2 linked regions of the Caenorhabditis elegans genome follow. The protein of the gene in region 2 purifies or fractionates together with the protein of the main gene of each other region. This does not show direct contact. Each region holds a gene or a part of one and is shown on either strand. Other genes may lie near its edges.

What was found. Proteins that work in one complex are often made in the same cells at the same time.
Region 1: the proteins of smf-2 (region 2) and srx-4 fractionate together in Caenorhabditis elegans (co-fractionation; one large-scale study listed by BioGRID). This does not show direct contact.

The regions. Positions count from the first base shown.
Region 1 is NC_003283.11:689,514-696,792, forward strand, and holds srx-4 (G-protein coupled receptors family 1 profile domain-containing protein), read right to left. Parts: upstream 3,258-7,279; coding exon 3,042-3,257; intron 2,929-3,041; coding exon 2,816-2,928; intron 2,558-2,815; coding exon 2,429-2,557; intron 2,380-2,428; coding exon 2,250-2,379; intron 2,184-2,249; coding exon 2,104-2,183; intron 1,793-2,103; coding exon 1,618-1,792; intron 1,569-1,617; coding exon 1,362-1,568; downstream 1-1,361. Other genes in the region: H25P19.1 (CUE domain-containing protein), read left to right, coding at 1-369; srj-53 (Serpentine Receptor, class J), read right to left, coding at 4,028-4,184, 4,231-4,400, 4,446-4,547, 4,595-4,963, 5,024-5,212; srj-52 (Serpentine Receptor, class J), read right to left, coding at 5,813-5,969, 6,016-6,185, 6,239-6,340, 6,388-6,501; ugt-29 (glucuronosyltransferase), read right to left, coding at 7,097-7,279.
Region 2 is NC_003284.9:6,715,524-6,722,802, forward strand, and holds smf-2 (NRAMP-like transporter smf-2), read right to left. Parts: upstream 3,173-7,279; 5' UTR 3,148-3,172; coding exon 3,046-3,147; intron 2,996-3,045; coding exon 2,774-2,995; intron 2,731-2,773; coding exon 2,600-2,730; intron 2,541-2,599; coding exon 2,402-2,540; intron 2,358-2,401; coding exon 2,202-2,357; intron 2,158-2,201; coding exon 1,999-2,157; intron 1,951-1,998; coding exon 1,864-1,950; intron 1,822-1,863; coding exon 1,584-1,821; intron 1,383-1,583; coding exon 1,271-1,382; intron 1,227-1,270; coding exon 1,067-1,226; intron 1,021-1,066; coding exon 976-1,020; intron 925-975; coding exon 835-924; 3' UTR 798-834; downstream 1-797. Other genes in the region: Zinc metalloproteinase nas-11, read left to right, coding at 1-33, 124-193, 240-397, 441-625, 670-797; NRAMP-like transporter smf-1, read right to left, coding at 4,277-4,420, 4,647-4,806, 4,854-4,965, 5,034-5,271, 5,319-5,405, 5,450-5,608, 6,163-6,318, 6,367-6,505 and 2 more. UniProt on the Caenorhabditis elegans protein: Probable divalent metal ion transporter which regulates Mn(2+) uptake.

The DNA of each region.
Region 1 (7,279 bases), on a different chromosome or scaffold from region 2:
CTAGCGAATCTACGTGGTAGTAGAGGAGGACAGGAAACGGATCTGAACAACGATTCGGACACCACCTCGGTGAACAGCGCTCAAGAATCCACGAATGGAACTCCGATGCCGGAGCCGGAGCCATCACGACCACCACGCATCAACTTGAAATTCCGATTCACTCCGTCAAAACTCGGAACAGCGACGCCGGGCATTTCGATCATTTCCTCGCCGACTCCACCGAAATCTCCGCCGAAATCCACCCCGCGAACTTCAAAATCGACGCCACCGAAGCGCCCATACCTAAAGCGATCTCTCGAGCAGGCCCGCGGCGGAGCCCAGAAGTCCTATCCGGCCCGAACGCGACGCTCGACGAACATCTTTGAATAATTCCCCATCTCAACTCTCACTTTTTTGCCGGTTGTGTAATATTTATTCTAACGTGATTTTTGTTGTGTCACTTTCTCATATTTTGTGTTGTTTTTTTAATAGTATAATAAATATTATTTATTTTGAGACAAAAAATTTGAAAAAAAAAAATCTAAAAATACGCATTGTGCAACATATTTCACGCGCAAAATATCTCGTAGCGGAAACTACAGTAATTCTTTAAATGACTACTGTAGTGTCGATTTACGGGCTCGGTTTTCAAAATGAATTTCTTTTTGAATTTTTTCCTGCATTCCTCCGTATTATTTTCCAATTTTCTGATTAATTTTAATATTCTATTGATAAATCCGTAAATCGACACAAGTAGCCCTACAGTAGTCATTTAAAGAACTACTGTAGTTTTCGCTATGAGATATATTTTGGTGTCCATTATTACCGATACAGAGCGTGTAGATAGTGAGAGAGTGGCAGACATCCGGGTCCCAAAGGGGCGGGGCGCGCGGAAGAGACGATTTGTGTCGATTTACGGAATGTTGTCAACGGGAAAAATTTCGTAAATCGACACAAATCGTCTCTTCCGCGCGCCCCGCCCCTTTGGGACCCGGATGTCTGCCACTCTCTCACTATCTACACGCTCTGTATCGGTAATATATTGTTTCATTCTCAAAATTGTGTGTTACCGTAGTAAAACGTGATATTTCAATTTTCGTTAAATTCATTCCAAAATGAAAACCTACTTTATAACCAATCAGTGTCGTCTCACTCCGCCCACTTCTTCTGATTGGTTGAAAAGTTGGTGGAGCAAGTCGCTGATTGGTCGCAGTTCAAATTTTGGAGAAAATCACTGGAAAAATAGGCGGAGTTTCGAGACAAAAAGACGATACTTCAAAAGTTGAAAATTCGCAAAATATAATTCGCGCGTTTGTTTTTTGTGGTATTTCTGAATTTGAGACTGCTTGAAATTTTTTTAAACGCAAAATCTTAAAAAATTATTATGGTCCCTCTCGAACTCCAATCGATCGAAATGGCTGGTGAATTTTTTTTGGAACAAATCGTAGTGCAACGTGGCGGATCGGAGCGACACTTGATGCATTCGTCGCGTTTGCCAAACTGACGTCTTGAAAGGATGGTTCAGGCTTCATAAATTTTAGAATGCGAAGAATGGATTGCAGTTTTTGAGGCTTTAAGTTTTCCTGGACCTACAAAATTATTTTTAAATTGCATTTTAAATTAAATCAATTATCTCACCTCGCTATTGAATCCCAAATAAATTATTGCATTGGAAGTGCAATTCAATGTGTAAAACATTGGAATCAACACAAACCACTCGATTCCATGATTTGCGATGATTAGGGGCAGAATTCGGAACAGGGACCATGCGCAGATGTAAAATATCAGAAGAAGGCAGAATTGGAAGGCGTATCTGAGAGAATAAGCTTTTACGAAAGGCTCGGCCCGTGGAGCGCACCCCACTGAAATACCCTATACAAGTGTGTCCCACCGATAAATACATACGCTCCGCCTTAAAAGGTTGGGTCTCGTTAGGTAGTCGCGTCAAAGCCGTCTATTTAACAATCTTATGCCAAAGTTTAAAAAACACGATATTTTCATCTTAAAACTCATCAAAAATCGACTGAAAATATATAACAACTTTCCTAATGAGACTCAACTTTTGTCGACGGAGCGCGTTTGCACCTCGATTTCAAAAAGCGCGCTTTTAAGCGGAAGGCTTACTTGACATCTCGCTCCCTCCGTAATTTTTGCTCTTCACCAGTTGATGAGTTGGGCGTCGATTTGTGAACTGTCCAGAATATCTAAAAACTATTTGTTTCGAAACATTCTTTTTGTGAAAGTAGACAAAAATAACTCAAAAAACTCACCATAACGTAGAAAAACGCCGAAACCACAGAGCTGAGAGCGTTTAAAGGAACATCAAAGTTGTTCGACGAGTTTGCAACTCCTTCTATCACATTGTACGAGTAGGAGAGGTAATTATGATCATAAACAAATCTTAAAGTTGTTTGAGACATTTTTTCAACGAAAAACCAATTTGACTCACGTGCAGCACAGATTCCAATACTGTGATTTGAACATGAAACCCAGAGAAACTGGGATCGAAAGCACAATGAGCAAAATTGTAGTACGGAATGTGAATATTTTATGCTTTTGCAGGCAAATTATCACGTATCTGAAAATGAGTATTGTGCAACATATTTCACGTCAAAATATCTCGTAGCGAAAACTACAGTAACTTTTTAAATGACTACTGTAGCGCTTGCGTCAATTTACGGGCTCGATTTTTGTATTTATTTTCAAAAGATTCATTCATTTTGTCGCTACAGTAGTCATTGAAAGAGTTACTGTAGTTTTCGCTACGAGAAATTCTGCGCGTCAAATATGTTGCGCAATACGCATTCTCAGAATTTTGTGTTCCCGTAATACTTACCTGTTGAGCCCCATGACCACCTGGAGAATTGTCTCGAAGTACCAAAGGAAGAGAAAAATAGAGCTTAATGTTGTGTTTAATGTGTTGGTTTTGGAAAAGCTTGTCAAGAAAGACTGCAAAAATGTGCGTTTACAAGTAATAAAGTTAATCATAGTGCAGCGACCAAAATTTTGGACCTGCGGCAAACAGATCGAGGCGAGACCCATTTGGAATCTTTAAAACTTACACTGGTAATAATAGACGGTGCCGAGTAGAAAGTAGCCGCGCTCACTTGAAAAACATCTGACAAAATGTTGAAAAACGACACAATGTAAACTGGATTCTTCCGTTTACAAAATGCCAGCCGAAACACCGCGATGATGGTGATGAGGTTTAAGATCAGACTGATGCCTGATAGCAGTCCGAATAAGAAGCCAAGGAAGGGTTTCAGAGGGAATTCCATCATGTTCTGCTGGGAAAAACAAATGAGAACTGAAGAGGGAAGAAAATTATCGACCAAAAATAATAAAAAAGTGATAATAACAAGAATTGTTAAGTAGAAAAATACAATTTTTGTGGGTAGGTGTCTAGCGCTGGTACGGAAATGAGAAAAGGACAAGGCAGTCAGAAGTCTGTGAGCAGTTTTCTTAATACTTCTAAGCGACTTGTATCTTGTCACTGTTTTTCTAGCATTTATAGTTCCGTTTTCTAAGAATTTTTTAGAATTCCGAAGAAAATAAAGGAAGGATTCAAAAAACCAATTTTTAAAAATAATGCTTCTACAAAAGTTTAAATAATATAATGACAAAGTAAGACTGAAATAGTTTTTAATGTTTCGTCAACTTCTCAGTAATCTTCATAACAGTGTTCAAGAAATTTGTGTCAGACGTGAACTGGCAGTTCAGGTTGACTGCTTATGATGTCTGTGCACTCATTAAAAATGGACTATGAACTGAAATTGTGATCTGTTCAATTTGACACATCGCTTTATTTGAAATAGTTGTTCCATTTTTACTTTGATATGATCCAAGCAAATAGCATCTGTCAATTGTCAAATTTTGTGGTTGAAAAGTGCTGTAGTGAACACATGAAAAAATAGCGCTTTATTATGTTTGAGATCAAATTTTTTTCAAATAATTATCGAATCGGCGTTTCTGATATAACTGTATCATGTAGCAATCTCCATAAATTGTCGCGTAGACCCCCAGAGAACAAGAATTTTCAGGTTATTCTTTAATCTTTAATTCCCTCCACCCCAACCGCGATTGATGAATTGTGACGGTTAAAACAAAAAATTCTTTTCCGGAGAATCGGAAGACAGAGAATTATTGCCACCGGGTCAACAAACGCAAAAAGTCCAAGAGCACTAAGTTCCAAGTAGTTGAATCCTCTGGAATAATTTCTCTCGCTGATGCGATTGTTCTAATAAGGAATACCTGGGCAATTGGATGTCAAAAACTGGACTATACCAGCAAAGTAGACATGGGGAAAAGCTGATGAAAATAGGAATGACGGTTTGGACAATCAATGCTCGTAGTAGTTCAAATTGAAGCTTCACTGTTTTTTTGCTAGCGTTCACTGTCATTTTCTTCAGTTTGTACATTATCTGAAATGTTAATAATTTTTGCTTGATTTGAGTTTGGAAGATAACTTTCTTAGCCATGATTAAAAATGAGAATATAGACGCCACTGATAATAGGGTTACCATAATTGTGGCTGCCCATGATCGAAACGTTGTTTCCCCAGATCCTCCCTGAAACTCGAAAATTCTAAAGCTATCGGCCAGTAATTTTATCTCACACGAAACAAGGTCCCAATCATATTACAATTCATTGAGTCAGTGCCATAAATCTCAAGGAAATCTTTGCGAATATACTCTCTGGTTTCCACATTTGCACGGCCTGGGAAGTAACAAATTGCGTGCCATGTTACAAAATACAATACTAAAACAAACGCCGATATAGTCATATACCAGTGGAAGTTCCGGTCAGTAAGGCTTGACTTTTGAACCACAAGGTACCGATAGACAAAATGGAGTAGGATAATTGCGTAGCTAGCTGACACCAAAGAGCAGCGACCGACCAACATGTGAAAGTTGAACTCGGAAACTTCAGAAAACGGCCCATGTCTGACGGTGAGGAAACAACAATAACCATAGCTGTGGATGTCCTGAATAAATTTTATCATTCAAATTTTAAAAAAATTGCTTCACGATTTTCTGTTACTTACCAGTGGAACAAGTACATTCACAACTGAATAGATCAAGTTGAATACTGCGAAAGATAAGAGAAGAAATCGATAGTTGCCAAAATTAGCAGATTTTTCAGAGAAGATAAGATAGACAAATATAGGATTTACCAGAAATGAGAGCGCGCAAAAAAGTCGCGGAATGTAAAGAAAAAACCATTCGTCGAGCATCACTCGTGCTATATTTTGACGAAAACAGTCCAAGCCAAATTGAGACAGACACCTATCTCGGAATTAGTTGTCGCTAAGGATGTTGCCAAATTTCCTTTTTGTTCATCTAATAGTTCCGGTGTCTGTCTCTATGTGTATTGTATGTTTCCATAACAAAAAGGTTACTGTAAAAATAGACAAATCCAAAACAGCGTTTCAAAAGGCCGATTGAAAGAAAATGGTCAGTTAGAGTTTGCAATCAATAACCTCCGCGCACTCAAATTTAAATCTCAAAACTTTCAAATGTTGCTGCGACTTTCAGTAACTTTCTAGAACTCTCGTCGGCCTTTTCAGAAATTCCATCTTCTGGTCTGTCGCTTCGTTTGAAAAAATTTTTCAAATTTTATTTTGAAATTTTCAAACCAAATAGCATCTGTGTATTGTAAAAATTGGTGAATGAATGGTGCAGTTGTGCAAATTTTACAAAATAACGTTGTATTATATACAGGTAAAATCAAATCAAATTTAAATCATTATTCTGATATACATAATTTTGTCCTGTAGCATTTTGCATAAATTGTCGTGTAGATCCCCAGAGAACAAGAATTTTCAGGTTATTCCTCAATCTTTAATTCCTTCCACGTTAACCGCGATTGATGAATTGTGACGGTTAAAACAAAAAATTCTTTTCCGGAGAATCGGAAGACAGAGAATTATTGCCACCGGGTCAACAAACGCAAAAACTCCAAGAGCACTAAGTTCCAAGTAGTTGAATCCTCTGGAATAATTTTTCTCGCTCATGCGATCGTTGTAACGAGAAATACCTGGGCAATTGGATGTCAAAAACTGGACTATACCAGCCAATCAGACATGGGGAAAAGCTGATAAAAATCGGAATGGCGGTTTGGACAATCAATGCTCGTAGTAGTTCAAATTGAATCTTCACTGTTTTTTTGCTAGCATTCACTGTCATTTTCTTCAGTTTGTACATTATCTGAAATGTTAATAATTTAAAATTTCATGCTCGATATGAGTTGGGAAAATAACTTTCTTAGCCATGATTAAAAATGAGAAGATTGACGCCACTGATACTGAGGTCACCATAATTAAAGCTGCCCATGATCGAAACGTTGTTTCCCCAGATCCTCCCTGAAACTTGAAAATTCTAAAGCTATTGACCAGTAATTTTATCTCACACGAAACAAGGTCCCAATCATATTACAATTCATTGAGTCAGTGCCATAAATTTCAAGGAAATATTTGCGGATATACTCTCTGGTTTCCACATTTGCACGGCCTGGGTTCCACATTTGCACGGCCTTTCTCTGAATTTGTAGTCGTCAAGGATGTCGCCAAATTTCCTTTCTGTTCAGTTAGTAGTTCTGATGTCTGTCTGCATGGGCGTTGTATTAAAAAAATTCGGCTGTTAGAGTTAGCAATCAATATCCTCCGCGCATTCAAATTTAAATACGCAAAATTGTCAAAAGTTTCTACGATTTTCAATGATTTTCTAGAACTCTTGTCGGCCTAATAGCAAGGTTAGGAAAAGTTAATTTTAGAAATGTTCATATTAAAAAAGAACCTTTCTATAAAAAATTGGAAGTAAAAAACGGAGCACCTATTATACGTTTTCGACATGCTCCAAACTTATAGCATACGGAAATTAGCGTATGTATACATACTTTCCAATATAAGTCGGAGGTAAATTAATTTTTTGGCCAACAACAAATTGCAGGTTTTCAAGTTTTCACCAAGTTTGGCAAACCATACTTTGCCGAAAAAACAGAAACATTTAAAGTTGAAGATCTTCACCACTCAATGAAATTCAAAGAATTTTATTCAGAGATCCCCAAATCGAATATACTAAACAAGAAAACAATGAAAGACAAGCAATTCCAGTCCTATTCAGTTTTCTTTAGATTTCACCAAAATAAAATGTTTCCTGGTGAACTTATAAACAAATCTGATAGTAACTATAATAATTGTACTAACAAAAATGTAAAATAATGCGAAAAGGGTATAAATATCCAGGAATGTTTTCTGGAAGTAATTGAGATGACGACCGTGTGGATCCATATTGGGGAATGG
Region 2 (7,279 bases):
TATTGTTTACTACAAAGTTGACAGTCCGACATTGTGAGTTCATATTACACAGAGGTGTTCTTATCGAGAGGTCAAACTAAAATAAGTAGAACGGTTGTTTAAAACTTATAACGTCTGATTCAGCTGTGGTCTTTCGTATGTTGGTCGAGCTGACCCTGCCAACCCAGTTTATCTTAGTTTTGGATGTGACAATGTAAGAAATCTTTCATGTCATTATTTCCCAATTGAGGAAATTTCAGAACAAAGGAGTTGCAATTCATGAAACAATGCATGCGCTCGGAGTTGCCCATCAGCACCTTCGCAATGATCGTGATCAATTTATTACTATTAATTGGAGTAACATTGATCCACAACAATACGATGCATTTGTTGTGGTGGATTCAAAACTGTACACTTCGTAAGTGTTTAGTAATCCATATGGTTCAAAACAAAACTTCTAGATACGGAGTGAAATACGCATACGACAGTATCATGCATTACAACGGTTACACTGCTGCTCAAAACATTGCGATTCCTACTATGAACCCAAAAACAAACTCTGCCGTGAATCTTAAAGTTCTTGGACAAAGGCAAAAGATGGGGACAACCGATATTGAACTTCTGAAAAAAATGTATTGTCAACCTGGTGAGTGGAATGTGTGTTAATAATACTGAAAATCAAAATTTCAGGATGCGATGACAAAAATGTTTATTGCGGAGCATGGGCTCTCAAAGACTTGTGCAAAAATCCGGGACATGATCAATACATGGCTGCCAATTGTAAGAAGAGTTGTGGATTGTGTGCTATTGGAAAATAATGTATTTTTGAATGTGATCATAAAGCAAATTTAATAATTAAAAGTATACATCGTTCACAACAAAGGTTTCTGTGATCCACGGAGCATCCAGTTCCAGTGTTCTATGAAAATCAAATCCCGGAAGGTTCTGAACCAAGAGATTTAGTCAACGTTTTCTGGGAAAAAAATAAAAAAATACCACAGTGTCGTTCATAAGTTCGCAAGCAACCAAACAGTAGATAGCCTAAAATTACACAACTAAAAGTTACTTGAATTTTTGAAAGACAAACCAGATAAAGGATAAAAGCAATGTATAACAAAGTAAATGGCCCAATAATAACAAAAATCAGCCAACCAGTGCCGAAATTTTCAGTCACATACTGGAAAATGAAGTACACGTTGATCCCGATTGTAATAATTCCACAGATAATAGAAAAGTATTGTAGAGGTCTGAAAAATAAAAATTGTTCTAATTTGCTTGGTTTTGTGAGTACTTGGAAGTTCGAAAATTGTGCATAATCCGCTTACTGGAAGTAAATGTAATCATCGGAATCAATGCAAACGGTAGCTGTACCATTTGAACACAGTTTAGAAAGTCATTCATACCTGAAAATTAAATTATGGTATACAACTTGTTTTCGATCAAAAGCGGCATGAATCTCAAGAATATACCAAAAATATACTATAGCGACTGTGTTGTAACATCACTTTTTGCCACCAGGCAATTTCCAAAGTTGCCTAAAAATTTTTTTCAGCAACCGGAAACTTGATTCCCTGACATTTACCAATTCTTGACTGAAAATCTACCTGTCAAATTTTTGATGCCGTGGGCTTTTATGCAGAGGATCAACGTTGGAGTGATTGCAACCGCTCTGGTTATCAGTACACGTTTCCATTTCGGCCACGAGATTCTCACAAATCCTTCCATCACAAACTGTCCTGTATATGTTCCTGTCATTGTTGATGATTGTCCTGCTGCGAATATGCCAATCGCCCAAATTATCATTGCAAATAGTCCAAACTGACATCCCAGGTATATCCCACCCTTGAATAAAAACGTGACATTTGGATTAATTTCCAATCATACTTGAAACAAATCCACTGTTACAGATGATGTATTGTTTGGAAAGACGTTCGAATCGGGAATATCATTGTGAGACAGACACATTGAATTCTCAATTAATTTTAAATTTATCATTTGTTATCAGTTTATTTTTCTTACAACGTCACCATTGGTCTTTTGATAAAGTCCACGTGCAAATACGGAGAGAACAAACAGATTTATAAAAAAACTGACGGACAATGCAAACGCCGATTCAATGGAAAAATATTTGTTCGCTTCGGCAATGCGAGTTTTGCTTGAGCGGTCGACTTTTCGTGACTCAAAATCTTAGAATCACATAACGTTATTTCGATAGAACTAACCTTAACCAAAGCTGAATGCAAATAAAAATTATGTGGCATTATCACGGCTCCAAAAATGGAAATAGCCGTTATAATTTCTTCCTTTCCACATCCACTACACCAGGGGACAACAGTACCAGTAAGAACTTTAGTCAACACTGGCTTCATCACAACAAACTGAAAAGCTGAATTTAACTGGATAGAAAATGATAAATGCTTACTTCGTAACCAAAAGAAATTGCCATTGTAGAAATTAGAGCAACAAATATAAACTCCAGTTTTCGGATGCCATATCTATCAATGAACAGAAAAGTGAAAGTATCCAAGATAGTAATTAGAACGCCGACTAATAAAGGAATTCTGAAAATGGAATTTTGTGAAGTTTTCCTAAATTATTTTCTAGTTAAAATTGATCTTACTTGCCACTGGACAATAAATAAATGGCTATTGCCGTTCCGATAACCTCTTGCATATCACTGCATACAATCGCAATCTCAATCATGAGCCAAAGAATGATTCGGGGAACCAACGGATAGTAATCATAAGCAATCTTAATGAATTTACAAAATTATTTTAAAAGTTGAATTATCTACTTCAGCCATGTGTTTCCCACTGACAACGCCTAGTCTTGCGGACATTCGTTGAAGAAGCATTCCAACAATATGAGACACCAATAAAACCCAGAGAAGTTTGTATTCAGCTTGAGCTCCAGCCTGGAGATCACTTTCAATGTTTCCTGGATCCAAATACGCAATGCTCATTAGAAATCCAGGGCCAGTAAATGCCCAAAGCTTACGCCAGGAGAACCATGTATTCTGAGCATTTATGCAAACTGAAATTTGTTTTGCTTGATTTAAAATAATACCTTTTCATCTTCGGGAATTTTTACTGCAATCGTGTCATCAAACGTTTTTTCTCGAGCCGGGGGAGCTAGATCAGATATGTTAGCGTTTTGAAAACCAGGCATTTTCAGAGCTCAAGGGTTAGCAACAGCAAATACAGGTTACTGTCGGACTCATGTGTTTTATACTTTTTATGTTGTTATTTTTTCTCCTCTGATAATAAGTAATCATAACAAAAAATTTCTTCCGCAGTTCCTCTGTTATCTAAAAACAAATAAGACTACTCCCAACAATTAAATCCTCTGCTTCATGTGGCAAGCATGAAAAAAATAGACAGGTGAGAGTTTGTAACTTGTTTATTGTGAAATATAAACTAAAAATGTTTGAGAATTGAGTTTCGACATTAAATCTCTTACATGTTTTAGATATTCCAAAGTTTGGAATATTTGGAATCCAAACATTTCAGTCAAATTTTGGTGAACTATAAAATTAGATTTTTTTTTTTTACTTTTTTAAAGAAATTTTGAGTATTTTTGCAATTTTGATATAAATTTCACATACAGATTAACAATTAACACACAATAACAATTAAAATTGCACATTTTTACCTGATTTCCCAAGTTATTATAGTCATGTTTTTTTGTATTCAGCTTACTATTCATGTGCAGAAACATGCTTAGTTTTTTTTTGCTTGTATTGAAGGAGAAGTAGTGAGAAATAGCTTAAACCCGGCTTTCGTGGTGTCAAAATAGCCAAATATCGCAATCAAACTTTTCAAAGAAAAATTCTTTCAAAAATTGATAATTATCAAGTTTCTACCACATTTTTGGAAGTCGTAGATCAAAAAAAAAACTTTCGTTCTAATTTTATAGAGTTTCAAATATTAGTAATCAAACATTGCAGGTATTCGAATACTGTCAATAAAAGTTTTTCAAACAAATTTTGAAATTATTTTTGTGATATTAGATCAGTTTGGCACCACGTTAGTGATTTTCAACAGTTTTTCCAATAAATAGCTCATTTTTTGCACGATAAAACAAATAATGATGTTTCTTTTCTTGTCTTCTGATGTTCCTGATGTTGTATCACAATTTCACATTTTCTGCGAGGCACATCAAAAGAGTCTCAAACATACTTTATATCTATTCAATTTAATAGAAAAGTAGAGTCGTGGAAACATATAAACATACACACAAGTGAAGAAAAAAACACGATGAAAAACCCAAAATGAGAATTATGCTCATTTAATATAAATTATTGATATCCTGCATTGTCATGGACTGCTGATGAATCAACCGCCAACCACGGAGCATCGTTTTCGTATGACTTGTTAAAGCTGAATCCTCGGATGGAAACGGTGTCTGGGATAATTTCACAAGAGACCAAACAGTATAGTGCCTGAAAAATTAACGGTAATGAACAAAAGTTAAAGTTTATCAGTAGTTAAATATGACACTATCAAATTTAATTTAGTTTTTTTAATAATATGGTTTTCAAGAAGTGCCGGGCGAAATACAATCACTACTAAAATTTTCAGATTGTAGGCGGATATCATTGTCAATGAAACTTGTAAATTGTTGAAGTTCCAATAATAAAGCCACAAAAAACTAACACATAGACTTACTAGATATAACACAAAGAGCACGTATGCAAAGGTGATCGGAGCAAGAACCATTATGATATACCACTCACTACCAAGTCGAGAAAACACGTAGTCAGAAATAAAATAAACGTTAATCGATAAAATTAACGCAGAAGTGATCAGAGCAAAAATTTGAAAAACTCTGAAAAAAAAGATAAATCTGAAAAGTATCAGTAATTTTTTACTCACTTAGAGCTTCTGAAGTCGTGCATTATTTTTCGGCTCGAGGTAAATGTGATGATTGGAATTAGTGCAAACGGAAGTTGAATCATTTGAACACAATTTAAGAAATCATTCATTCCTGGAAAACAATATTTATAAGTCTGATTTTATATATTTTTGTAGCTGTACTATCCCTGATAGTTCTACCTGTTAAGTTTTGAACTCCTTGCGAATAAAACGTGAGCACGAGGGTTGGAGTGATTGCAATCGCTCTTGTAATTAGAACTCTCTTCCATTTGGGCCACTCAATTTTCACAAATCCTTCCATCACAAACTGTCCTGTATATGTTCCTGTCATTGTTGATGACTGTCCAGCTGCGAATATTCCAATTCCCCAGATAAACATTGCAATAGCTCCAAACTGGCATCCGAGATAAATTCCACCCTGAAAATAACATTGTTTTGTTTTGCGGAAAAAAGAAAATGTGTAACCTTATAGATATCCACCTCAACTGGTTCAGTGTTATTTGGGAATATATCTGCATCCGGGATGTCGTGTCTGGCTATGCACATTTCTCTCTGAAAACGAGCAATCAAAAATAATTTTTGAAAAAGACACTAACAACATCCGCATTTGTTTTCTGGTAAAGTCCATGTGCGAAAACGGCGACCACAAAAAGGTTGATGAAGAAGCTGAGGAAAAGAGCAATTGCCGACTCAAGTGTGAAATATTTGTTGGCCTCAGCCACACGACGACGGTCTTTACGATCTACACGGCGAGACTGAAATTTCATTTGAAAGAGTGTAATGGACCACGTTTCAATCAATACTAGCAACAAGTCGACGTTGACGTTTTAAAGAAAATAAGAAAAAAATCAGCTTGAAATTTGTAATCATTAATAATTTCACCACAGACCACAGTTTCATAAAAAAAACATTCTCATTGAAGAAATAATTTTTTGAATAGAACTCTTCGAAACATTTGGTGGTAAAAACAAAAATACAATTGTTGCATACAATTGTTTAATACGTGGTCTATTTGTTTCAGAAATTTAGGCATACGGTTCACAAAGTATGAATTTACTATTTTTCTATTTCTAAAGTGCATAGTATTGCATGCGTGTAAAAAATAAACTTGCAAAAAAATTCAAACAGCTGATACGTATTCGCGTTTTCCGCGGTTTATCAAAATTCGATCATGATAGATTTTTTTAAAGATCATAACTCCGCATTTTGTTTTTCACAAAATTATTGTTGTTTTTCTTTAGGTCTGTCACATGTTATCAGATGGTCAGATCAACACAGTCAACCGAAAATTTGAATAATAAAGTCAAACCTTCACTAGAGCCGAATGAAGGTACAAATTGTGCGGCATGATGACAGCTCCGACAACTGATATCGCTTGCATAAACTCTCCTTTTCCACATCCAGCGCACCAAGGTACCACCATTCCAGATATAACTTCACCAATTGGAGGTTTCACAACGACAAACTGAAAAAAAACTTGCATTTAACATTTTTCAGGCTTTGTCAATTTCACCTCATAGCCAAATGACACTGTCATTGTTAAAATAAGAAATCCAAAGATTAATTCCAGTTTTCGGATTCCGTACCGGTCGATCAGCAAAAATGTGAAGGTGTCAAGAATTGTGATGAAAACTCCAACGTAGAGTGGAACGCTGTTAAAAACATGTTAAAACACGCCAAAGCAAAATTCAACCTACAATCCTTTAGAGAGCAAGAAAATGGCAATTGCTGTTCCAATAACTTCTTGCATATCACTACACACAATTGCAATCTCGATCATAAGCCAGAGAATGATGCGAGGAAGTCTTGGGTAAAATTGGTAGGCAACCTTAAGCACATAATATTTAAATTTACTCAATGTAACTTAGATATTACCTCTGCCATATGTTTTCCACTGACAACTCCAAGTCTTGCAGACATTCGTTGGAGCAACATTCCGATAATATGAGCTGAGAGCAAAACCCACAAAAGTTTGTAAGCCGCTTGTGCGCCAGACTGAAGGTCGCTTTCAATGTTTCCTGGGTCCAAATAGGCAATACTCATGAGAAATCCGGGCCCTGTGAACGCCCATAATTTTTTGAAGGAGAACGCTTTTTCCTGAAAAAAAATTGGTTATAGGAAATTAACATTAATAATTGATATAAAAAACTTTTTATCAATAAGAACTGAAACCAAACATTTCGAAAATCAAAACTCCAAATTTGTAATAATTTCACCATAAAGGAGACATAACTTAAACGAACAGTGGGCGGTAATCGGAAGCTCTAATTAATTCAAACAGTGGGTGATTGTCGAATTCAATAAATTTGACAAATGACAAGCGTTTATTTTGGGAAAAAAAACAACAAGAAAACGAGCGAAAAATGAATTTGAACTGCTTTTTTGTTAAAAATAGAAGAAATACAAATGTTCTTCCGGCAATCTTC